Linked DNA regions of Callithrix jacchus. The protein of the gene in region 1 interacts with the protein of each later gene in a pairwise test. Links are inferred from orthologs where the notes say so. Each region holds a gene or a part of one and is shown in the gene's direction. Other genes may lie near its edges. The genes, in order: GOLGA2, SH2D4A, SCEL, CCNH, FAM50B, SH3RF2 and TCF19.

What was found.
Region 2: the proteins of GOLGA2 (region 1) and SH2D4A interact in binary tests that used the Homo sapiens proteins (3 or more experiments, as listed by UniProt). The two-hybrid records come from large-scale screens. The link is inferred for Callithrix jacchus from reciprocal best matches to the Homo sapiens genes GOLGA2 and SH2D4A.
Region 3: the proteins of GOLGA2 (region 1) and SCEL interact in binary tests that used the Homo sapiens proteins (3 or more experiments, as listed by UniProt). The two-hybrid records come from large-scale screens. The link is inferred for Callithrix jacchus from reciprocal best matches to the Homo sapiens genes GOLGA2 and SCEL.
Region 4: the proteins of GOLGA2 (region 1) and CCNH interact in binary tests that used the Homo sapiens proteins (3 or more experiments, as listed by UniProt). The link is inferred for Callithrix jacchus from reciprocal best matches to the Homo sapiens genes GOLGA2 and CCNH.
Region 5: the proteins of GOLGA2 (region 1) and FAM50B interact in binary tests that used the Homo sapiens proteins (3 or more experiments, as listed by UniProt). The two-hybrid records come from large-scale screens. The link is inferred for Callithrix jacchus from reciprocal best matches to the Homo sapiens genes GOLGA2 and FAM50B.
Region 6: the proteins of GOLGA2 (region 1) and SH3RF2 interact in binary tests that used the Homo sapiens proteins (3 or more experiments, as listed by UniProt). The two-hybrid records come from large-scale screens. The link is inferred for Callithrix jacchus from reciprocal best matches to the Homo sapiens genes GOLGA2 and SH3RF2.
Region 7: the proteins of GOLGA2 (region 1) and TCF19 interact in binary tests that used the Homo sapiens proteins (3 or more experiments, as listed by UniProt). The two-hybrid records come from large-scale screens. The link is inferred for Callithrix jacchus from reciprocal best matches to the Homo sapiens genes GOLGA2 and TCF19.

The regions. Positions count from the first base shown.
Region 1 is NC_133502.1:176,865,833-176,868,507, reverse strand, and holds part of GOLGA2 (golgin subfamily A member 2), read left to right. Parts: coding exon 1-313; intron 314-579; coding exon 580-693; intron 694-1,341; coding exon 1,342-1,587; intron 1,588-1,666; coding exon 1,667-1,742; intron 1,743-2,178; coding exon 2,179-2,270; intron 2,271-2,526; coding exon 2,527-2,675. UniProt on the Homo sapiens protein: Peripheral membrane component of the cis-Golgi stack that acts as a membrane skeleton that maintains the structure of the Golgi apparatus, and as a vesicle thether that facilitates vesicle fusion to the Golgi membrane.
Region 2 is NC_133514.1:22,141,152-22,144,651, reverse strand, and holds part of SH2D4A (SH2 domain-containing protein 4A), read left to right. Parts: intron 1-2,062; coding exon 2,063-2,273; intron 2,274-3,500. UniProt on the Homo sapiens protein: Inhibits estrogen-induced cell proliferation by competing with PLCG for binding to ESR1, blocking the effect of estrogen on PLCG and repressing estrogen-induced proliferation. May play a role in T-cell development and function.
Region 3 is NC_133502.1:37,700,917-37,704,416, reverse strand, and holds part of SCEL (sciellin), read left to right. Parts: intron 1-323; coding exon 324-383; intron 384-1,724; coding exon 1,725-1,784; intron 1,785-3,500. UniProt on the Homo sapiens protein: May function in the assembly or regulation of proteins in the cornified envelope. The LIM domain may be involved in homotypic or heterotypic associations and may function to localize sciellin to the cornified envelope.
Region 4 is NC_133503.1:123,459,594-123,463,832, forward strand, and holds the start of CCNH (cyclin-H), read left to right. Parts: upstream 1-1,439; 5' UTR 1,440-1,583; coding exon 1,584-1,700; intron 1,701-3,004; coding exon 3,005-3,127; intron 3,128-4,239. UniProt on the Homo sapiens protein: Regulates CDK7, the catalytic subunit of the CDK-activating kinase (CAK) enzymatic complex. CAK activates the cyclin-associated kinases CDK1, CDK2, CDK4 and CDK6 by threonine phosphorylation.
Region 5 is NC_133505.1:26,814,544-26,818,592, reverse strand, and holds the start of FAM50B (protein FAM50B), read left to right. Parts: upstream 1-1,249; 5' UTR 1,250-1,309; intron 1,310-4,049.
Region 6 is NC_133503.1:44,494,051-44,497,550, forward strand, and holds part of SH3RF2 (E3 ubiquitin-protein ligase SH3RF2), read left to right. Parts: intron 1-1,531; coding exon 1,532-1,801; intron 1,802-3,500. UniProt on the Homo sapiens protein: Has E3 ubiquitin-protein ligase activity. Acts as an anti-apoptotic regulator of the JNK pathway by ubiquitinating and promoting the degradation of SH3RF1, a scaffold protein that is required for pro-apoptotic JNK activation.
Region 7 is NC_133505.1:35,984,761-35,987,559, forward strand, and holds the end of TCF19 (transcription factor 19), read left to right. Parts: coding exon 1-235; intron 236-669; coding exon 670-916; 3' UTR 917-2,299; downstream 2,300-2,799. UniProt on the Homo sapiens protein: Potential transcription factor that may play a role in the regulation of genes involved in cell cycle G1/S transition. May bind to regulatory elements of genes, including the promoter of the transcription factor FOXO1.

The DNA.
Region 1 (2,675 bases):
AGCAGGGCCCTCCGAGGTAGAGCAGCAGCTACAGGCGGAGGCTGAGCACCTTCGGAAGGAGCTGGAGAGTCTGGCAGGACAGCTCCAAGCCCAGGTGCAAGACAATGAGGGCTTGAGTCGCCTGAACCGGGAGCAGGAGGAGAGGCTGCTGGAGCTGGAGCGGGCAGCTGAACTCTGGGGGGAGCAGGCGGAGGCTCGCAGGCAAATCCTGGAGACCATGCAGAATGACCGCACCACCATCAGCCGAGCGCTCTCCCAGAACCGCGAACTCAAGGAGCAGCTGGCCGAGCTGCAGAGCGGATTCGTAAAGCTGGTGTGTGGCCCTACCTGGGGAGCCTGCTCTTCTCCCTAGCCCTCTGGCCCTTTGTTTTCCCACCTGTAAAATGGGGCAGTGTAGCCCTCACATGAAATGGTACTTCTGAAGTCACCTATGAGCCGAGCCCTGCTCTGATGGCTGTCGGGGAGAGGGGATGATTTTTCTAACCTGCCTCCACCCTTCCTGGTTCCATGGGAGGCAGACGCCAAATTCTGAGGTCTCCAGCTGCAGTGGGTGACCACTGATTGCTTCTCCCTGTCCAGACTAATGAGAACATGGAGATCACCAGTGCACTGCAGTCGGAGCAGCACGTCAAAAAGGAGCTGGGAAAAAAACTGGGCGAGCTGCAGGAGAAGCTGAGCGAGCTGAAGGAGACGGTAACCCCACCCCATCCAAGAAGGGCTGGGAGGCAGGCACCAGCCTCTGGGGAGGGGAGGTGTGAGGCCAGAAGCAGCTCCAGCCTGGGGGACAGGTGACCCCAGCACCCTCCAGGGAAGTCCTGTGACTGTTTCTTGCTTCCTGCTCCCAGACTTTTAGAAGTGGATAGTCCTGTGCTCCTCTCAGGTCTGGACATCATCATTCCAGCTAGAGGCATGGAGCCCCCAGTCATAGGGAAAGAAAGTGGGATAAGAGGCTTCTTAGATTCAAACTGGATTCCGACCTCTCCTCCACTGGTCACCATTCAACTACATTGCATCTCTAAGTCTCGGTTTCTTTAACTTGAAAAGGAAGTTCATTAAATGAGATATTACGTGGATAGTGTTAGGCATGTAGCACACTTAGCAGATGGTGGTTGACTCCCTCTGTGTTTCCACCAGTCTGTGGCCTACAGTATGAATGGTGGGAACAAGGGTGTGAGATTTGAGGCTGGGGAAGGAGGCAAGGTAGGCAGTCATTTAGGCCTGAAGCACGGGGCCAGGGGTCTGGGCATGCAACAGCCCCAGCGTGCCCTTGCTACCCTATTTATGGGCCCAGAATCTGGAAGTCAGCCACCACCTGCCCTCATGCCCAGGATCTTCCTGCAGGTGGAGCTGAAGAGCCAAGAGGCTCAGAGTCTGCAGCAGCAGCGAGACCAGTACCTGGGACACCTGCAGCAGTACGTGGCCGCCTATCAGCAGCAGGTGGCCGCCTGTCAGCAGCTGACCTCTGAGAAGGAGGCACTGCACAACCAGTTGCTGCTGCAGACCCAGCTCGTGGACCAGCTGCAGCAGCAGGAAGCTCAGGGCAAAGCGGTGGCTGACATGGCCAGCCAAGAGTTGCAGGAAACCCAGGTGAGGGAGTTGCTGAGGGCAGGGCCCTGAGCGACTTGGCAACCTCTGTGCCTTCTCACTCTCTTTCCTGGCCCCTTAGGAGCGCCTGGAAGCTGTCAGCCAGCAGAACCAGCAGCTAAGAGCCCAGTTGAGCCTCATAGCTCTCCCTGGGGAAGGTACGGGAACCTGCTCCCAGGAAGAGGAGAGAGCCCTAGGAGGAATCGGGGACTGTCAGCAGCGTAGGATTGAGGAGTTGGAAGAGACTTTTAGAACAGCGGGTCATTATGCTCACCGGCTGTCCACACTAAGTTGGGCACCAATATAGTGACTTCCTGGGAGCAGGGGACTACCAGGTTGCTTAAGGATGGGTGAACTGGCCCAGGTCAGAAATGGCATGGGTTAGAATTCCTGTGCTGATGGGTAGTGGGGCTGCACCTGGGCAACATAGCGAGCCCTTGGCTCTTCAAAAGGAATAAAATAAAAATGAAGGACAGCTGCTCATTCCCTCTGGGGAGGGGCTGGCTCAGGGTTACACAGTGAGGGTGGGGGCAGAGGTGGGCCCACTGTACCCTTGTTAGGTTGTCTGATGACCCCTCTGGCCACCCCCAATAGGAGATGGACTGGACAGGGAGAACGAGGAGGAGGAGGAGGCGCCTTGGCCCATGCCGAGCATCCCAGAGGACCTGGAGAGCCGGGAGGCCATGGTGAGGCTGACTCCTCCTGCCCCACCTTTGCTGCCTCCCTTTGTGGTCCCTCCCAGACCCCCTTCTTCTCTTGGTTTCCTGGTATTCTGAGTTCTCTGGACCCTCACCCCTTCCCTGGGAGCCAGTGATCAGACACTATGTCACCTGTGACCAACAGGTGATGCCTCTGAGGCCCTAGGGGAACGGCTGCTCTCCTCTTCCCTGCCTTGTTTGTCCTGTGTATCCCCATCCAAGTGTGCACCTCTCTTGCCTGCAGGTGGCATTTTTCAACTCGGCTGTAGCCAGTGCCGAGGAGGAGCAGGCAAAGCTACGTGGGCAGCTGAAGGAGCAAAGGGTGCGCTGCCGGCACCTGGCTCACCTGCTGGCCTCCGCCCAGGAGCCTGAGGCGGCAGCCCCACCCCCAGG
Region 2 (3,500 bases), on another chromosome or scaffold:
GAAAACTTACAGGATAAGAAGAAGCCCATGGCAGAGCAGAGGATGCTCCAGAATGCTAGAAGAATTAGGTTTGAGAAAGAAGTAGTGTTTCAGTCTGACTCAGAGAAGTCTGAACTGCTGGATCATCCTGAGGCAGCTTGAGGAAGAACACAGGTGTGGCTGCATTTGCAGGATGTTGCGATCCTAAATTGATCTGCAATCCCATTACAGCCAATGCCATTTAAATGACAATGTCTGTGAAATAAAAATATTCGCAAGATCCAGTGGCCTCTTTGTACTATGCAGTGAAATCCTAGTATAAGGGAATATTTTGGGTATCTCTTTGAAGTCAAACATAACAGGATTTGACCAATAATGCCTGAAGAGTAAATATACTCAATAAAAATTACTTTTTCATTCTGCATTAGAGTCTCATTGCTACAACAAAAAACTGTTTTGCAAAGTAGTCATGTGCTGTATAATGATGTTTTGGCCAACGATGGGTTGTATATATTTTTTAGGCCAAGTGCTGTGACTCCCTCCTGTAATCTCAGCCTTTTGGGAGGCTAAGCTGGGTCGATCACTTGAGGTCGCAAGTTCCAGACCAGCCTAGCCATCGTGGTGAAGCCGCATCTCTACTAAAAATACAAAAACTAGCTGGGTGTGGTGGGGCACACCTGTAGTCCGAGCTACTAAGGAGGCGGAGGCAGGAAAATCGCTTGAACCTGGGAGGTAGAGGTTGCAGTGAGCCAAGATCATACTACTGTGCTTCAGCTTGGGCAACAGATTGAGATTCAGTCTCAAAAAAAAAAAAAAAAAAAAAAAGACACAAAATAATAGGTTGCATATATTTTTAAAATAAAGATATTTTTAATACATTTTATTAATGTAGTATAGCCCAAGTATAAAGTGTTTATAAAGTCTACATTCATGTATAGTAATGTCCTAGGCCTTAGCATTCATTGAGCACTCACTCACTGACTCAACCCAGAGCATCTTCCAGTCCTGGTAAGTACCCTATATAGCTGCATCATTTTTTTGTCCTCTATACTATATTTTTACTATACCTTTGCTACGTTGGGGGTAGTTTTTTCATTTTTTATTTTTTGAGATGGAGTTTCTGCTCTTGTTCCCCAGGCTGGAGTGCAATGGCGTGATCTCGGCTCACTGCAACCTCTGCCTCCTGCTTTCAAGAGATTCTCCTGCTTCAGCCTCCTGAATAGCTGGAATTAGAGGCGACTGCTACCATGCCTGGCTAACTTTTTGTACTTTTAGTAGAGTCAGGGTTTTGCCATGTTGGCCAGGCTGGTCTCAAACTCCTGACCTCAGGTGATCCATGTGCCTTGACTTCCCAAAGTGCTGGGATTACAGGCATGAGCCACTGTGCCCAGCCTTATATTGGGGGTGTTTAGATACACAAATACTTTTGGGTTACATTCGCCTCAGGACGCATTTCTCAGAACATGTTCCTGTCATTAAGTGATGAGTGACTATAATTTTAAAAGGCAGGCTTGGGGTACTTCTTCGTGTTCTAATGTGTTCTACAGTTATCTGTGGTTAAGCATCTCTTTAATTTTTTTATCTGTTGGGCTCATTCTCATTCTATCCCACTTCCTGCTCCTTCACCCTATGCACAGCCCCATGCCACTGAATAGTCCAGATCTTTGCTAGCAAGTCAGGCACACTGCATCTGAACATGAGTCTATGCAGGAAGTGACAAGTGCCTCTTATTACTCAGCACCCTTGCCACTTTGAACCCTTGCTCAGGCAGGGACTCCTCTGATCTTATCAACTGCAGGAAATTCTTGCACACTTTTGATACTTCTCTCATCCCTTCTTCCTCCTCTTCCTTTTCTCTCCCTCTCAGAAAATCCCCAAACTCCCATATGAAGAGAGGAATCCTGCGGTGAACGCTGGGCAAGTCCTAATGACCTGGATCATAGGTGTTGATAATGAGTGTTCCTCATTATAAGCAGATCACAAACTGCTGGTAACCTGCGCTGCTGCCTGTTGTGCAATGCTGAGCCTTCTCACCTGCTCTGGGGGCTGATGAGGATGTTCTCCAACCCTGTTGTTTTTCTAGTGCGAAAATCCAAAGCAGCTGATGAGAAGAGACGCTCCTTGGCTAAACAAGCACGAGAAGACTACAAGAGGTTATCGCTCGGGGCCCAGAAAGGAAGAGGCGGTGAGAGGTTGCAAAGCCCCCTGCATGCTCCGCAGAAACCAAAAAGACCTCCCCTTCCACCGAAGCCTCAGTTCCTAAACCCAGGAGCGTATCCTCCAAAACCTCTTAGGTAAGAAGCCAAACAAATAGATGGCTTTAGGCCTAAGCATTGCAATGGGCTTTGAGTAAGCATTGAAATTAGGATGAATTGTATGAGCTGCCATAGGGTGTGGGAGGTCAACTGGCAGCCTGTGTAAGCTCAGGCTGACGTCTACGCCTTCTTCCTGGGTTATCTGGTCGGGCGCTCCTCCCCTTCTTAGCTGTCAAACATCCGTAGGTGTTATATTTAGCATACCCAGTGAAATAGTAAAGCCGTGCATGGAGTTAGAGAACTTCCTGTGTCCCCACCCCACTCTCCCCTTTTCCACCCAGAGGCAGCTGGCAAGCCAGTGAGGGGAGAAGAGGAAGCAAGGGGGGATTTCACTGATGCCCAAGGTCACCCTTAGTCAATGACAATCAAAGTAGGAACCCAAAGGCTTGCTGACTTTCATGTCATTAGTAAGACTACGTTTTCACTGCCAAGGATTGAAGGTTTGATGTAATTCTCATTCTGGGACACATAGCTGTTGGAAACAGATGCTTGGTGCTGCAAAGAAAAATAGCACTGAGACAATGGATCTCTCAGCAAAGCAATTTTTACTTTTTTACTTCCTGTACTGCAGAAAGGGTACCCTCACTAGCCTTCTTGCCACGAGAGTACAATGAACAAAGGAAAGCAGACATATTTATCTCTTATGCATTTGTGGTTGTCTTTACTGCTGTGTCTGATCTCTGTTGGTTGGAGCCAGACTTCACAATCCAAACTAAAACTGGATTGGCTAACAACTGAAAACTTTTTTAAACAGGTAAGGGGCATAGGCTACCAGCTGGGACATGCCTGTGAGCACATCTAGCACAGATATCTTAAAATACAAGGACATAGAATATACTACATTCCTATAAGCATGTCTAACAGGTACATAGGATAGGGCTTAATAAAGGGTTATTAGCAAACTTATTCTCTAACAGGAAAGGAAACTTTAGAGGGACTTTTCCACTTCCCACAATAGCCAAGTTTATCTTTCGAAAATTTGGAAAGGCTCCTTTTTTTTTTTTTTTTTTTTAAATGAATTGTCTATTTGGTGGTGGTGATGCTATTGTCTCTTAGGCTGTGGAAGAATTAGGAAGAACCATTTGTTCTGGAAAATCTCTGCAGAATAGTGCAGTGATGCTATTACAGAAACCCCCATCCCTTATGTTTGCTGATTATAAATTTTTTTTCTGGTTATTGATCTTATTTTATTTTTAACATCCTAGG
Region 3 (3,500 bases), about 140 Mb from region 1:
TTTCTCTCATATTAATTAAGCGATATTGAGGGCATCGCATCTTTATGTTTGGCTTCTCTCTTCTGTGTCTAATCCCTGGTGCCCTGATTTTCACTTCAAAGAGTCTACAGTGTATTCCATCTAAATATACATTTACATATAGCCCAATAAAATCCTAAGGATTAAACTATATTATTGATAGGCAATTTTTATACTAAAAGTGAATTTAATATCAGTATAATAATTGTCTCCAGAAGCTTGAATTAATCATTGGGAATATGGAGGAAGTGTGTGTCTAATATTATAGGAATGTTTTGAAACTGATACACTTTTTTTTTTTAAAGAAGTGAAAACCTTGATAATGCTATCAAAGTGAATCCCAAAGGAAATGAAAATGCCACTGGGTAAGAATAATTAATGTCTTTGATTATGATTTCTTTAAGTGTCAATCCATCAGAAGATAAAACAATTTGGCTTTTTAGCTGTATAACCATATTTTATTAGCATGGAATTAGACAATAAATATAGGCCACTGGACCATCCCTCCTTGCCCTCAATAAAACTGTGAACTTCTGAAGCATTGTCTTAATGTTTGATAGTAAACAAACTTTTCTCCCAGATTTTGGGCTTTGATTTGTCTTCAGGGGTAAGGGACTGAATTGAATTTCTTTGTGCCTATAAGAATGCACAGTTGTGACAAAATTTTCAAAGTGTATTTCCAAAATGACAAAGACGGCCAGGAGTGAGCCATCACTGAAGCTCTGGTAATTCAAATTCTCTAAGGATGGTGGTCTCAGGAGGTGGTCAAGGCAGGGCTGAGGCGGCACACACAGGTGGAGTGAGGACCTCCTACCACTTTGTTCCCTGTTCAGAGCTGTGTAGACATGGTGGTGGCACCCAATCACAGTGCTTCTGTTGTCCCCTCCTGTCCCTTTTAGATTCTGCTTCTGCCTTTTTTGGTATCAAAGTATTTTAATAGCGTGGCCTGTGTGATTCACTCCCACTGGGGAGTGAATCAGTAATTTTTGGTATGTGGTATTAAACGAAATGCTGTTGTGGAAATTAATAAAGGTAAGTTAAGGATAATTTACATCAAAGGGCTTTCTGATTTGGTCCTGAAAACACCTGACACATGGTAATGTGAGCTGTTTATTTCTTGCCCATTTTTGCTCACCAAAATTCATTTTGAAGAAAATGATATTTAAAATGGGTTGGGTTAGGTAGATAGCTGAGTTTATATGAAAACATACATTCTTATTCTCTTTATTAATATTGTTAAATGATTTTTATTATTAAATTATGATTCTCAACATTATTCCTAATACTTAGAAACAGAATAGGTGATCGTATTCCATTTGTTGAGTAGACATTTATACTGTCTGGGTCCAGTGTAGAACTTAATCTAACTTAATGTTATTTCAATGCTGCCTGTTTGGATACAAGATATATCTAACAAGATGTGTCTGAAGGCAAAGTTGATTTTGTTAAACAACAAGTTTTGCATATACTTATGCATTCTGAGAACAAAACAAAAATCACATTTATTACTAACAAATAAGCAACCTTAAATGGTCTTCAGCTCAAGATGTAAGAGAATAATTTTCATTTGCATTTGGAGCTTTAAAACTTTACGTAGATATATGAAACCTGTAGATTTACCTCTTCTTAATTTTTCCAGCCATTATTCATCTGATTAGTGCTTTATTTTTAGCATTATTCATTAAAATTCATTTTCTCATTCAAAGAAAACAAGATCTGGACTGGCTTATTAAAGTGGATCCTGAAACAAATAAAAATATTAGGAGGTAAGGCATTTTAAGTTCCCCCTTCCCTTTGTTTGGCATTTACAAGCTCATTAGAATTCTGAATGTTGATATTCAGGTCAGTAAATTGGAATTCAAGCCAAAACAAACTGAGCTCTTTTCTCTAAACACTTTATATTAAGTAATTCTGTACAAGTGATACACCTGAATCTTCTTCATTTTGTTCTTGGGTGAAGTTTGTTAGCAAATAATTTTAAGAAACTAAATGGGAATTTTGGCTGACCTTCTCTACTGAACTAAATGATTTATTTCTTTGTATGCGAGTGTGAGTACATGTGTGTATAAATGTATGTGCGTAAATATATAGTGTGTTTATATATAAGTGCATGTATGTATGTGTAAGTGTATAATAAATATATATATGTAGATATAAGTAGTGTGTGTGTTTGAGTGTATGTGTGTGTGTATCAGTGGTATGTGGGTTTAAGTACATGTGTGTATAGATGTGTGTATAAGTGTATGTGTGTGTATGTATAAGTGCATGTGCAGATGTGTATATGTATGAACTACATGTGCATGTGTGGTGTATTTGTGTGTAGTGTGTGTATGTGCATGTAGTATGTGTGTATTTAAAGATGAAGAGCTTAACAAAGTGTGCTTTGTTCCTACTCATGAGTTGTCGAGTATGTCTAGAGAACTTATGTCTTCTTGTTTTTTATTTTTTATAAGGCAGATGGAATATTTTTGAAACTGAGTTTGTTGGCATGTTGCTGGAAACAGTGTACCACATAATTTCATGTGGTTTCCCTTGAATTCTTTTCCATTTCATTAGCTAAGTACATGATATTATTTGTCAATCCAAAAATGTGTCATGGATGCCTGCAGCCCAGTTGGCAAGGGAAGGGCTCAGCTAGTTGAAAAGCTGTGGTGCCCACTGTCACGCCTGCCCTGCTTGTGTAGGTGTGGCATGGTCAGAGGCACAGCAACCCAGTGAACTGGAGGCTTGCACAAGCTTGCAATCAGTAGATGGAGAAGAAAGCATTGATGTCCTTCAGTTCCTGGGTGGTTCAGGGAGGTAACCTGAGGTAGTGAATGTGAGCAGGGAATCTAAAAAACCTAGGTTCATATTCTGGCTCTGTCACTTGCTAACTGTGTCTCTGTGCCTCAATGTACTCATTTACAAAAGAGGAATCATAAAATTCTCATGCCTGGCACATAGTAGATACAAGTAATTATTGCAATAATAAGGATTCAGGTAAGTTATATTTCCTTCATAATTTAGTGTTCAAATGTCAAATTTTAACTTTCCAAGAAAAATCTGTTTTCTTGGAAATGTTTTCTAATTTTTGTTAAAAATAATATTTCCGGCCGGGTGCGGTGGCTCACACCTGTAGTCCCAAAACTTTGGGAGGCCGAGGCAGGTGGATCATGAGGTCAAGAGATCAAGACCATCCTGATCAACATGGTGTGAAACCCCGTCTCTACTAAAAATACAAAAAATTATCTGGGCATGGTGTTGTGTGCCTGTAATCCCAGCTACTCAGGAGGCTGAGGCAGGAGAATTGCCTGAACCCAGGAGGCGGAGGTTGCGGTGAGCTGAGATTGCACCATTGCACTCCAGCCTGGGTAACAAGAGTGAAACTCTGTCGCAAAAAAAAAAAAAAATTTCCAATCAGGACTTATTTTCTTCATATGTTGGTGTGTGTATATGTGGGCATCCCTCTGCTCATGTGTATATGCATGCAAACAGATGTTTTT
Region 4 (4,239 bases), on another chromosome or scaffold:
AAACAAAATGAAAAGGATTTATATGATATATATATAACTGTTATGAGTCTAAGACTTTGTATAGACATTTAATTATCTAGATCACTTATTTTCCTACGTTTTGTACCATTATTTTTTTCTTTTATTCTTCTCCCAATATGCAACATTTTAGGTTGTTCACAATTCATTGTAATCAATTTGCCATGCCCTTCAATCTTCTCTTTTTCTCATTTCTTAGCCAATTTACAAGTCCAGATTAGCCACATATGTTGAGTGTGTGGATCTCCAAAATTATAAACTACAAATGGCATAAGTTTGAGGAATTCAAATAACTGTCCAAACTCTATCCTCAACTGCATTCAACAAAAATGAAAGAGAAAAGACTCCCTTTCTTTAGGCTCTAAAAACATTTTCGTAGAAAGCAGACTTAAAGTCGTCCTGCCACTTCTTTTACCTTTTTACCTTTTAGGCTCTTCAAGACCTAAATTCTCCAGGCCTCATCATCTTTCTCTTTCTTTCTTTTTTGGAAATCCATTTTGGATATATAATAAATATGTGGAGGAATAAGGTATGCCTAAATGTGACAAACCAGAATCAATGTATATTTTGAATCTCACCTGCAATTTTGAAAGTCCTATTAATTTAAAAAATTGTAAATATCTTAATATTCATGATAGCTTACCGTAAGTCTCCCTAGAGGCAATGAAAATGGGAATCTCAAGAAAACTAAAACCACCATACATCTTGGCTTCAGAGACGAAAACGGGGGAAGAGGATTGGCTAGTTATCAACAGAAGGGTAAGGAAAAAAAAGTACAGAGAAAGAATAGACAAGGTCACAAAAGTGGCAGAACTCTAAGGGCCAATACATATCCACTGCTTCAAGTTTTTCAGCCATGCTCCATTCTCTGAGATTTTTGGTAGAGCTTCAAGAACACTGGTCTCCAAAGTCTTCCTGACAAGCTCTAGGAATGCTTCTGCATGAAGATCTTACCTATTTTTCTGGGTCCCATGATCTCCCTACATGATTGATCAACCTACTATTTCAACTCTTTCAAGCCTTTGCACAAATGTCAACTTCAGTGAGGCCTCTATTTAAAAACTGACACCCTACCAAGTCCTTTCCTCATTTCTGATTACTCCCTGTGAATTTACAACAGCCTACTCCATAACAATCATGATAGACTGTGTGAATATGCTCACAGTTGGGATGTATTATTTATAAATTAAAAAAGTAGATTATGTCCTAGCTTATGTCCCCTTTGAACACTCTTCGCCAGGCACTTCTCCTTTAAATCCTGAGTGGAAGGGGCGGAGCTATGTCCCAGGCTCCCTAAGAGGAGCTTTCCGTAGGCTCCGCCCACTACGCCTCAGTGAGCGCCCCAAAGAACCCTAGATATGGTCTCTTCCTAGTCCGTTCCGGAAATGCGACTGCGTACGGGCTCGCCACGTGATCGTGACGTCAGCGCGCCGGCGCGGGCGCCGGCTGGCCGGACGCCCAAGGCTTCCGCGACATTTTCGGTGGGTGAAAGGCCGCTTTACGCCACGGTGTTGCTGCGTTTGGGTTCTCTTCTGCAGGCTCTCTGCACCTGGTCACGATTCACAATGTACCACAATAGTAGCCAGAAGCGGCACTGGACTTTCTCCGGTGAAGAGCAGCTGGCAAGATTGCGGGCCGACGCCAACCGCAAATTCAGATGCAAAGCAGTGGCCAACGGGAAGGTGAGGTTCTCAACGGTTGCCCGTTTGCCCTGGTCTCTAAATTCTAAGCAGCTGCGGGGGCTCTTCTGGCTCCCAGGACAATCTCATTCCCTCAATTCTCTGTCTCCACGGCGCGGAATGCGCTTATCTATTTAAACAGGCGAGCACCTTGCCAGTTCCGTGGGTGCAAAGACGAACAACGCCGTCCCCGTAGTAGAATGGCAGACAAGTCTTTGTAACGTGGCGAAGGAGAGACTAAGTAGTGTGCTAAGGTAGTGCCTGGCAAGAGCCGTTCACTTGTCAAACGGTGATGTCGGGGAACATTTTACCCAGTAGCTAATGCGGAGAAAATGGGGAAAGGACATTCTAGGCAGTCAGAGCTACCGTGCAGAGTGGGAGGGAGGTCGGAAATTACAGAACTGGTGCCTGGACGTGTTTGTGGTCGTATATGGTCGAGGTTGAGTACCTGTGCAGGAATTGCTTGGGAGGGTAGGAAGAGAACTTGTAAGTGGAAGTGAGGCGTTTAAAATTTCTACTGAAAGGATGAGGAACCTTTGAAATACTTAAAATGGGAAACTAACCTTATCAGATTTCCGTTCTAGAAACCGCTCTGGCAACCTCGTGGTGAATGGGTTGGATGAGGGAGGGAGACAGGAGACCGAGTACAAACCAACTGACTAAAGATGGTTTGGACTATGGCCCGCTATGTCCCTTCTGTTACGGCTCTCGGACTGGTAAAATCTTTCCTACGAGTTCCACTCCAGCAAGTGTTCAGCGCCTCCAAATTATTGATACAGAGTAATTTCGCTTTCTACTTTAATTCACATCTGTTTCAAATAACTGATTTTAGCACCTGAATTCGTTTCGTAAGGGCTGCCTTAAAATCACCACAAACTGGATAGCTTAAAATAACAAATTGAAACATTTGCCTTTTTTTTTTTTATACCTCGCTTGTGTGACATAATGACTTACTGAGAAACGGATGTTGAAACTTTCCAATCATTTTTTATTTAAGTGTATCTATTTTTTAATTTATAAATAATGACATCACAACTGTGAGCATATGCACACAGTCTATCATGATTGTATCTTGAAGCAGAGGTCTAGCTGACATTCCGAAATGTTGCGAAATGATGGTACAGTTTTAGTTTATTAAATATTTTCCTAAAGCTATTTTGTGTAATGATAGGGGAATCTATAAAGAGAAAATGAGGCGTGATGTATTTTCCTTCGTTGGAGATATAAACTAAATTTAATCTAGTTAGAGAAAAATATTTTACAGTTGTTTAATTCACTGAACTTGTGTTGTAATTGTTGACCTAAAGGTTCTTCCGAATGATCCAGTCTTTCTTGAGCCTCATGAAGAAATGACACTCTGTAAATACTATGAGAAAAGGTTACTGGAATTCTGTTCAGTGTTTAAGCCGGCAATGCCAAGGTCTGTTGTGGTAAGTTACGGTAGTGATGAAATATGATGTCCTTTAGTTGGCTTGTGAAATCTGACCTCTTCTAAATTTGTAGCTAAGTTCCCAGTCCATTTTAGTTTTAAAAATCACCTTTGTTACATTTAATTAGCTTTTGACACATTATATATTTTTCAATACAGGCCTTAAATCATGAATTGCTGTATCATCTCTTCCAACGTATTTCAAGTCTCATTTTGTAGTAAAAAAAAAAAAAAAAAAAAGAAAATTGAGGTCAGGTAATGGTATAAATAAAGAAAATTAACTTACTTTCCTCTAAGTTTTCAACTAGTGAGCCTTAGAACCAGAAATAGAACTAGACTACTGCTTTTCCAACTCTATGACACCCGGTAGATGTTTGAAATAATACATTCATTCATCATTTGTAATCATATGCTCCAGCTGAAACTGATGCCATAAGATTTTTTTTTTAAGCTTTGATTAGTAGAAGCTGGAGTTTTATCTTTGGTTAAAAAGATTGTCATATTGTTTCAGATGTATGATTCTGAGGACCTGTGGGTTTTTTTTGTTTGTTTGTTTGTTTTGCTGGGGTGCACAACAGTGAGGAGAAACAGGTAGCTGAGATTAAAAAGCTGAAAGATAAAAAAGTGTAATGGGGGAGTGTTAAAAATGTTTTTATGTTATTTTATCAGGTTTGTTGTGAAGACTAAATGTAAAAGTCTATTTTAAGTAAAAGTCTGTTAAGTTTTAAAGCTATATACAATGCGATTAGCTTCTAGGAAATTATCTCCATTTTTATTGTTGAAAAAACATTGAAGTATGTCGAAAATATTAAGTCATATAACTTATTTTTTTTTCCATATGAGATATCAAAGATTCAGAGAGTTTTAGGTGTACTCAGTTTCTGTCTTCAGATTTGGCTTATTCTTACAAAAGAATTGTAAAATGAGGCAGTAAATTTAAGTGATTTTATCAAATGAAGAAACCTTTAATAAACTTCTTTATGGAATTTATCTTTAAATAACATGTTTGTGATTGGTGAATAATTTTTTGTTTTAAATAATGACAAAACTAAACTTTTAAAATATTTAAAAGGAAATATTTTTTCTATCATAAAATAGATAAGTGGTTATTTT
Region 5 (4,049 bases), on another chromosome or scaffold:
TCGTAGCTGGGGCTGTCAGCTGCATCCCCTAAACATAGCCCAGGCTTCCTCAAAGCATGGGGGCTGCAGAGAAGGCAGACTTACTTGATGAGTCAGGACACCAAAGATGAGTATTCCAGGGACCAACATAGCCACATCACCTTTTCTGAACTTGCATTCTGTTGGTTACAACCAAGTCACAATCCTGCCCAGATTCAGGAGAGGTAGCCCCATCTCTCAATGAGGGCAGTATCAAAGCATTTTGGGGGCCATGTTTTAACCACCACACAGATGAAAATATTGCCTGCCATCATGGTGTTGGGATGGCTTCCAGGAATATATCTAATTCAAAAAGCAATTCAAAGATCATTTCAAGGATATTTGTATTCCCTGAAATGTTATAGTTACACATGAAAAAAACTTAAAAGGTTTTCCTTGTATTTGACAAAAATTCTTAAATCTATGTCACTATCAGTCACGAATTGTTTTAGTCATGAATCTTCAAAGCTGAAACTTTTCTGAAATATTAACAATCAAAAATTGTTTTTCATCAGCCATGCTATAGGAAAGACTGACTTCTATCTCTCTACTCTCTGTAGAAATATCACGTCAGGTGTGGGGCTCACGCCCATAATCCCAGCACTTTGGGAGGCTGAGGCAGGCAGATCACAAGGTCAGGAGTTCAAGACCATCCTGGCCAACATGGTGAAACCCCGTCTCTACTAAAAATACAAAAATTAGATGGGTGTGGTGGTGTATGCCCGTAATCCCAGCTACTATTAAGGGTGAAGCAGGAGAATTGCTTGAACCTGGGAGATGGAAATTGCGGTGAGCTGAGATCACACCATTGCACTCCAGCCTGGGCAACAAGCGTGAAACTCCATCTCAAAAGAAAAGATCACAAAGGTGTTACCATATGGAGCAGACATGAGAAATGCACTGCCCAAAAAGTGGTGTTTCAGACTCTTGTGTAATCACATGAACATCTTTAATAAGATTCTGGGTACAAGAATTTAAGGTGGTAATTAGTCTCAAGAAATAAAAATAGAAATGATCATCTTGGGCATCAGCAGTCCAGGAAAACTTCACGGAAGTTGAAAGAAATGGAATTTCAGTAGAGCGAATGGAGGCTGGGGACAGGACCGACCCAACTGGTCAGCGCATATTGGCAGTTACACCTGATGTCAGTTCTGATTGGCTCCGTCTCCACGCTCATTGGTTAGTGCTCCACAGCAGTTGGTAAATGTTTTGCATATCATCCCTGCCTGTTAGAGTGGACAATATTAGCAAAGGCACCGAGGAGGAATAATCTTGGCCTGTTTATCAAACGGTAAGGAAATTTCACTGGCTTGAGTCCAGCTGGAGGCAGTTACGGGAAGTACAGCTGTTTAACTAGAGTAAAGCCAATTGTGAAGCATGTTGAATGTCAAGCGAAGGAATTCGTACATATTCCTGGAAGCAGTGGGGGAGTAATGAACCTTTCAGTAAAATAATAACGACTTTAAAAACTAATTTTAGAAAGATTACTTCAGTAGTTGAATGAGGAGAAACTAGGAACACCTTTTTAGAAGGTGGCTGTGATATTCCAAGGAAGAACTATCAGACATGAACTAACTAAAGAGGAATTTGGGCTTGTATGTGTATCACTTTCCTAAATCGAGTTCTGTATTAGTAGCTTATTTTGGGGGTTTATTTTTTGAGATGGAGTTTCGGTCTTGTTGCCCAGGCTGGAGTGCAATTATGCGATCCCAGCTCACCGCCACCTCCGCCTCCTGGGTTCAAGCAATTCTCCTGCCTCCGCCTCCTGAGTAACTGGGGCTACAGGCAATGATTTCCTCATGTTCATCAGGCTGATCTTGAACTCCCGGCCTCAGATGATCCTCCCGCCTCAGCCTCCCAAAGTGCTGGGATTACAGGCATGAGCCACCACGCCTGGCCTGTATTATTAGCTTATAATGGATCATATAGGGAGACCAATCATGCTCGACTTAAAATGTTCTCGTCCCCTCTCCTTCCAGCCACTGCTACAGTGAGCAGTTCTATCCAACCAGCTTCACGTAGCAGTACGCTGAGCATGCCTCTTCTCACTGCCCGTCCCTGGATTCTCAGATGCAGTGGCTGGCTGGGGTGTGCCATGTGAGTCCTATGAAGGAACCGTCTTCCACTGGGGATGGGAGCTCTCGAATCAATGCTTCCCCTGTTCTCCTCACCCCACAGTTCTGAGACACACTCCAGAGAGCTTGCAAAAGCTGCTGTGATGGTCAGGCATGGCGGCTTATGCCTGTAATCCCAGCACTTTAGGAGTCCAAGGCGGGCAGATCTCCTGAGGTCAGGAGTTCGGAATCAGTCTGACCAACATGGAGAAGCCCTGTCTCTACTAAAAATACAAAATTAGCCGGGCATGGTGGTGCATGCCTGTAATCCTAGCTACTCAGGAGGCTGGGGCAAGAGAATCACTTGAACCTGGGAGGCAGAGGTTGCAGTAAGCCGAGATCACACCCTTGCACTCTAGCCTGGGCAACAAGAGCAAAACCCCGTCTCTCTCTCTCTCTCTCTTTCTCTCTCTCTCTCTCTCTCTCTCACACACACACACACACACACACACACACACACACACACACACAAGGCTGCTGTGGGACCCAGCAATCACTTGTAGGCATGGCTGCCTAGATTGAATTGGATTTTCTCCCCAGCCTCCTACCCCATCCACTCTCCACCAACCCTGCTTCCTGCTCCCTGTGGTCCCATTCCCAACTAAACCACTCACGCATAAACCTTGAACCTATGCTTTTCTTTGGGGGAACCCAGGCTAAGAACAGGATCCTCCAATTCTTTGGTGCACCATAGTGGAAACTCACATGCCGCTCTGCCCACAGTAGCAGCATCACATCCTCACGACTCACCCTTGTGTTGAATAGCTAGTATCTCCTTTGACCTTTTTAACTTTTTTTTTTTCCTGAGGCAGAGTCTCACTCTGTTTCACTCAGGCTGGAGTGCAGTGGCGCATGATCTTGGCTCACTGCAACCTCTGCCTCCCGGGTTCAAACGATTCTCCTGTCTCAGCTCCTGAGTAGCTGGGACCACAAGCATGTGCCACCATACCAGGATAATTTTGTATTTTTAGTAGAGACAGGGTTTCACCATGTTGGCCAGGCTGGTCTCAAACTCCTGGCCGCAGGTGATTCTCCTGCCTCAGCCTCCCAAAGTGCTGGGATTACAGGCATGAGCCACTGCACCCAGCATCCTTTTTAATTTTTAAAAACAAGTGTGTAGTACTGACTCAGTCCCATATACTCAGCAGTATTTTAAGCCAGTAGAGTGGTAATTTAGGATACTGGTAAGAGCAGAGAATTTAGAATCATAAGATCTAGATTTGATCCTTGCTACCAACTGGATGAATGACCAAGGGTAGGACATACAGCTCTTGGAGTCTTCAGTATCTTCATCTGTAAGACAGGTGTGTTAGTAGCTATCGACCTTCAGTGTTCTTGTATCAAGGAGGACCGAGTGTGTGTGATGAGCAGTTGCTAATTTCAGCACTCAGCTTCCATTTCCCCTTCCTGTTGGTTATGCGATCCCGATTTTTGTTTGGATGGCTATCACCTTTCCCCAGTGCATCCTACGTTTTACCACCATTCTCCTCTCGACCCCCAGCTTTAGGGTAGGCCCTAATGGTCTCAGTCTAAAGGAACTATTCATCATTTCCCTAGCTATGATGATTTTAAAAAGCAATGAGAAATGTACTGACAGATCTGGTCACCATTCTGAAAGAGCAATCAACTAAGAGAGCATGCAGCTCTGACAATTGCTGGAAATCATCGTGTGGCCCTAAGGAGTGCGAGCCTAAAGATGCAGCAGAAAGAGGGATGGTGAGATTACTGAACTTTTGAGTCAAGTCACATCCAAAGCTCATGTGACCTCTGATCTTTTCAAATAAATGAGTTATTAAATATTTTATTTAAACCAGTGTAAGTCAGGCTTTCTCTTATCTGGGACGGAAAGACTCTCAACTGCTAGAGTATACAAGCAAGTTTTGTAACTTGCAAATCACGATAAAACATTTTTAAAAT
Region 6 (3,500 bases), on another chromosome or scaffold:
CCAAACAGTATTAAATGACTGACGAGGAGACATAGGTAGAAATATTAGCTTGCATTTGATGACCTATAAGGGCATTTATTTTTTTTAAATGAGGATATGAACTCCAATGAGACTAAAATCTGAAAATGCATATATGTATGTATAAAGACATACATACTTATATGTATAAATGTATTTCTGCTCTACCTTTCCCAAATTAATGTTACTTAAATTAGAATGGTGTGTGGGAAGATGTGTTTCCCTCTGGTTTTTGTTGTTGTTGCTGCTGTTTTGTTTTGTTTTCCATGTCCTACAGCTGGAATAAAATATCCATGTTTTATGGGAAAAAATACTATGCAGGTATACCCCAGATAGTGTAGGTTCAGTCCCAGACCACTACAATAATGCTAATGCCGTAATAAAGCAAGTCAAACAATTTTTTTACTTCCCGGTGCATATAAAAGTTGTTTACATTACACTGTAGTCTACTGAGTGTGCAATAGCATTATGCCTAAAAAAGTATATCTAACTTAATTTAAAATACTTTACTACTAACAAAAAGTTAATGATGATTTGAGCCTTCAGCACGTTGCCATCTTCTTGCTGGTGGTGGGTCTTGCCTCAATATTGATGGTTTGCGGCTTCACCTTGCATTTTTAAGTTATAGAGACAGCTTCTTTTCTTTAACCTCAAACAATCTCAGCTAGCTTCAAACTTTTCTTCTGCAGCTTCCACACCTCTCTCAGCCTTCATAGAATTAAAGAAAGTTAGGCTCTTGATCTGAATTAGGCTTTGGCTTAAGTGTATGTTGTGGCTGGTTTGATCTTCTACCCAACGAGTCAAACTTCCTCCATATTAGCAATAAGGTTGTTTCACTTTCTTATCATTTATGTGTTCACCGCGGTAGCACTTCTAATTTCCTTCAAGAACTTTTCCTTTGCATTCACAACTTGGCTGTTTGTCACAAGAGGCCTAGCTTTTGGCCTATCTCAGCTTCAGTCATGCCTTCTTCACTAAGATTAATCATTTCTGGCTTTTGATTTAAAGTGAGAGATGTGCAACTCTTCCTTTTACTTGAAAATGTGTAGGCCATTTTAGGGTTATTAATTGGCCTCATTTTAGTATTTTTGTGTCTCAGAGAATAGGGAGGCCCAAGGAGAGGGAGTGAGATGGCAGAATGGCCAGTTGGTGGAGCAGTCAGAACACAAACATTTATTGACAAAGTTTGCTGTCTTGTATGGGCAGTTTGTGGCACCCACCCCTCAACTCAGGCATTATAATACTAACATCAAAGATCACTGATTACAGATCACCATAGCAGGTATAATAATAATGAAACAAAGTCAGCACGTGGTGTTGGAACAATTGCACGAATAGACTTTTTCAGCACAGGTTGCTATAAATTTTGATTTGTAAAAAGCTCAATATTTGCAAAGCATGTTAAAGCAAAGTATAACAAAAGAGGGAATGCTTGTATCTTCTGTTCCTCTAGACTCTAAGCTAAGTAGATATTTGAGCTAAGTATGTATTTTATTGGTCTGTGCCATTGCAGGTGCCTCGAGCCAAGGCCTTATGCAACTACAGAGGGCAGAGTCCTGGTGACCTAAGGTTTAATAAGGGAGATGTCATTCTTCTCCGGAGACAGCTTGATGAGAATTGGTACCAGGGGGAAATCAATGGCATCAGCGGGATCTTCCCAGCCAGCTCTGTGGAAGTCATCAAGCAGCTGCCCCAGCCACCCCCACTCTGCAGGGCCCTCTACAACTTCGACCTACGAGGCAAGGACAAGAGAGAGAACCAGGATTGCCTCACCTTCCTCAAGGTAGGATTCTGGGTGGCCACCACAGTCAGCTGGGACCACATAGAGACCATAGCAGAACCAGAGTTGCTTGTTTAACATTTGCTGATTTTAAAAAATTATATATTAAATATATTATATTATTGTTCATATTTATTCTTTTATGCATAAATTATATTTTAAGCATAAATTATATTTTATGCATAAATTACATATGTAATATGTGTGTACAATTCAAACTAAATGCAAGTAAAATCTCTACAGAAATCTACAAATAAGCGATAGAAATCTGTGAGCCTTTTTTATTGTAATTACAAAAGTATACACTCATTCACTCATTCATTCATTCTATCACTTTTGAGCACTTACTCTTTGCAGGTCCTGGGAATAGGACATGAATAAGTCACAGTCTTTGCTCTCCTGGCATAGTAATGGGAAGAACAGATACGTGAACAGAAAATCACAAACAATTTGATAACATGCTATGTAAAACCATGCCCCTACCTCTTAATCATGTATGTGGAAGGGTATTCTTGCTGACCAAGTTATGCTTACCTAATTCTACTCATTTACAACATTCTATGTTGTTGTAAACATCACATTCAAAACACTGCAGACACACATAACAACATAATCATGCCTTTCTACATAAATAATCTCTTACGAGACATACTTTTCAAACATTAATTACCCTAAGATTTCTTGTGCCTCTGTTTTTCATTAGATGATTCCCCACCATTTGCAAGTAATGACAGTTCTACTAAAGTCTACACTACTTTAACTCTCCGTATTCAGTATTTGTTATTCCATAGACATTCACATCTCTCATAGAAACCACAGTTGGAATTATTTTCATTCTTCACTACTGGTGATAAGTCGATCAAATATAAGTATAGAAAGAGGCACTGTTACAATACTTTAGCCAAAGTCTTTTGTTTTGCAAAATATTTTTATTCCACCACTACCAGAAAGGAGATTTACTTCAGGTTTCCTCAAACTAGACAACCTCCCTGTCCTCCACATTTTGAGATAACGACGTTTATTATTTCCTTGGGACCTCAGAGTGAGACTCCTAAGGAAGGTCATTCTACAGCCCAAACAGCAAAGTTTAGATGTAGACTACAGTTAGAGGAAGGTCAGTTCAATCCCGCAAATATGTAGTGAGTAATTATTTTGTGCCAGGCATTAGACACACAGCTGGAGGAAGACATAAGCAGGGAGTATCATCGTCTGCCTCTCTGACCCTTTCTGGGAATTTGCAAACTGGGACATTTACTCTACATGCTTATTCATTTTTTGAGCCCATCCATGTGCCAAGCTGGCCATTGGAGATAAAGTGATGAGTCATTGTCCTTACCTTCACAGAGTGGGCAATCTAGTGGAAGAAACACACTTATAAATGGGAAATTATGATAAAGAAACCGGAAAAAAGATTTGACCCATTCTGGAAGGCTGTGGAATACAGAGACTTCTAGGAAATCTCATGGTCTAAACTCAGCACATCCAAATTAAACTCGAGATATTCTTTCCCAAAGTTGTTCTTTTCCTAGTGCTTTCTAGCTCAGTAAATTATATAATTTATTCAACTTCATGTATTTATTTATGCATGGATGCATTCAGGAAATATCTGTTGCCTGACTACTAAAGGGAAGCCACTGCATTAGGTGCTAGGGACAGCAAAGATTAACAAAGCAGACACATGGAGTTTGGCCCTGCATACATG
Region 7 (2,799 bases), on another chromosome or scaffold:
CCCAGCCCCTCACCTTCTCCCCTAGGGGGGGTAGACCAAAGATCTTGCCTGTTTCCGCCCCACCTGGGGAAGTGGGTATCATACCTTCTGCTCCACCCCCACGCAATCGGAGGAAATCTGCTCACCAAGTGTTAGCAGAACTGGATGAGAGTGAGCCTCCTGAGAGCCCACCACCAGTCCTTATGGAGCCCAGGAAGAAACTCCGTGTAGACAAAGCCCCTCTGACTCCCACTGGGTAAGTAGAGACCTCACTTGGCTCTCATAGTATTTTACTGCCTTTTGATTCCTTTTATCCCTAGGCTGGGAGGTGGAATAGATGAAGTGGCAAGACCTGGGTTAGCTCTGATAAGAAAAGCAAAATATGTGCAGGAGAAAATGAGAGGTGGGTGGGGCAATGGTTATAACAGCTGGAGTGGGCACATCCTACTTTTTACATTCATCTAGCTTTAACCCCATTCTTCTAGTGCCTAAGGATGGGGAACTTCCAGGCTCACACTAGAGGTTTTTAGACCCACCCTATGTGTTTTTAAAGACAGGGTCTAGACTAACCTTAGTCCTCAGACCACTGTGCCTCTGTGGACTCACCCTATGACCAGCCATAGGGTGGCAAAGTCTAGGTCGTCTCCTACAGTTTTCCAGTGACTCTTGTATTTGTGTTACTTCCTTCAGAAATCGATGTGGCCATCCTCGTCCTTGGAAGTACCCAGCGAGTGCCCCCATGGCTCCAACTGCTGTTGGGGGCGGGGAGCCCTGTGCAGCTCCTTGTTGCTGCCTGCCCCAGGAAGAGACAGTGGCCTGGGTTCAGTGTGATGGCTGTGACCTCTGGTTCCATGTGGTCTGTGTTGGCTGCAGCATCCAGGCTGCAAGGGAGGCTGACTTTCGATGCCCAGGGTGCTGTGCTGGCATCCAAACCTAAGGTCAACCATGAAGGCACCCTCGGACACAGCTGCCCATCAGTAGACAGCAGTGAGCAAATGTGTCTGATAAATGCCCCGGTCCCTTCCCAGGATGGAATGATTACAGGGACGAAGGGTGGATTGATGTGACTCATTCAGGGCCTGGAGCAGAGCCTGGTGGCCAAGGTGACAAAGAAATGGCTTCCTGCCAAAGATATTGCCACCTCCAGGAAATTGCCAGTGACCTGGAAGTTCCCACTGCTACAAGCTACAAGACCATGTTGCCATGGACACCAAAATATCTGTAGTCAGAGCACTGAACAGTTGCAAAAGCCATGCCTGCAACTGATGGAAAACTAAGGGAGTTCAAAAAAAATTATCTTTCCTGCCGTAAGAGGGAGTTCTTTTGTTTTTTGAGATGGAGTTTTGCTAATTACCCAGGCTGGAGTGCAATGGCGCAATATCAGCTCATGGCAACCTCCGCCTCCTGGGTTCAGGCAATTCTCCTGCCTCAGCCTCCTGAGTAGCTGGGATTACAGGCACATGCCACCGTGCCCAGCTAATTTTTTTGTATTTTTAGTAGAGACGGGGTTTTACCATGTTGACCAGGATGGTCTCGATCTCTTGACCTCGTGATCCACCCTGCTCAGCCTCCCAAAGTGTTGGGATTACAGGCGTGAGCCACCGCGCCCGGCAAGAGGGAGTTCTTAAGGTTCTTGGTGGCATCACCTAAGGCATTCTGGGAAAACCTAGAGCCTGGCCCCAAAACTTCCCTACTCTGTGGCTAGTCTTGCCACTGACTAAATCATAAGGACTGGGCTTTTCAGAGCTTTGCTTTTATTTCCAAGTCAAGGACAAGCAGCTTCATTCCTGGGTATTTACTCTTCTTGTGGGTCTGTGGTATTCCTTGCTTTCCAGGGAGAATGCACTTGGCAAGGTCTGGAGAACTAATTCAGAATCTTAGTGGAAGGGGAGTAGATAGGAACAGCCAAATTCAAACCTGCTTATTGGAAAGGTACAAATATATGGGCTGAGCGGGAGGTAGGAATACAGGTAATTTTCTAGTTTTCCCTTAAACAGACCTACTGCCATTTAAATAAGGTAGCCAGGATTTGGTCAAGTTCACAAAGATAGCAGAAGTTTTACAGGCTTCACCCTTACCATCAGGGCAAGAGAAAGCCTGGTAAACCAGCTATAGCAGTTTACCAGCATGATTGTTGTGACAGCTCCACTCCATGGGTGGACACAGCAGAGGGCAAGTGGGCTGGCCTGGTCCAGTATGAATCCAACTGCTTACCCCACACGTGGTACACGTGATTTTCCTTTGTGAGCCTTACACCAAGCCAAGCTATTGTCAAAGCATCATTTGTACAGAAATAAAGCCTTATGTATTTGGTGAGTCACTTATGGGCAGGGTATGCAAAAACCTTAAGTGGAAACCAGATAGACCCTGGTACCAAGAAAGCACAAAATATTAATAGAAGTTTCCAGTTGGGGTGATTTAGGTACAACAGAAATAAGACTTGATTATAAGTATAAAGCCATTTAAGAATTCCAGAGTAGGGTGGGGAAAGCAAAAAGCCAGCTCTGAGCCGTAACAGCTACATGGTGATGAATATGGGCAAAAGTGTGGTGTCCAGATCCCATGTCACAGGCTTCCATGAACTAGCTATAAAGGGATCCTATGCAGATAAACTTGGCTCCAATCCTAGCTCTTCCTCTGACATTGTGTGACCTCAAGGAGTTTAAATGGCATCTTGGTTTTAGGGTCACTTGGGTATGAGCATTGGATATTCCCATCCCCACCTCAGTAACTAAAGGAGGCCAAACCAAGATAAATGTGTCTATCTACTGTGTCCCAGGCTTCTTTATTTAAGAAAAAAGTGATACATGTGGGGATTAA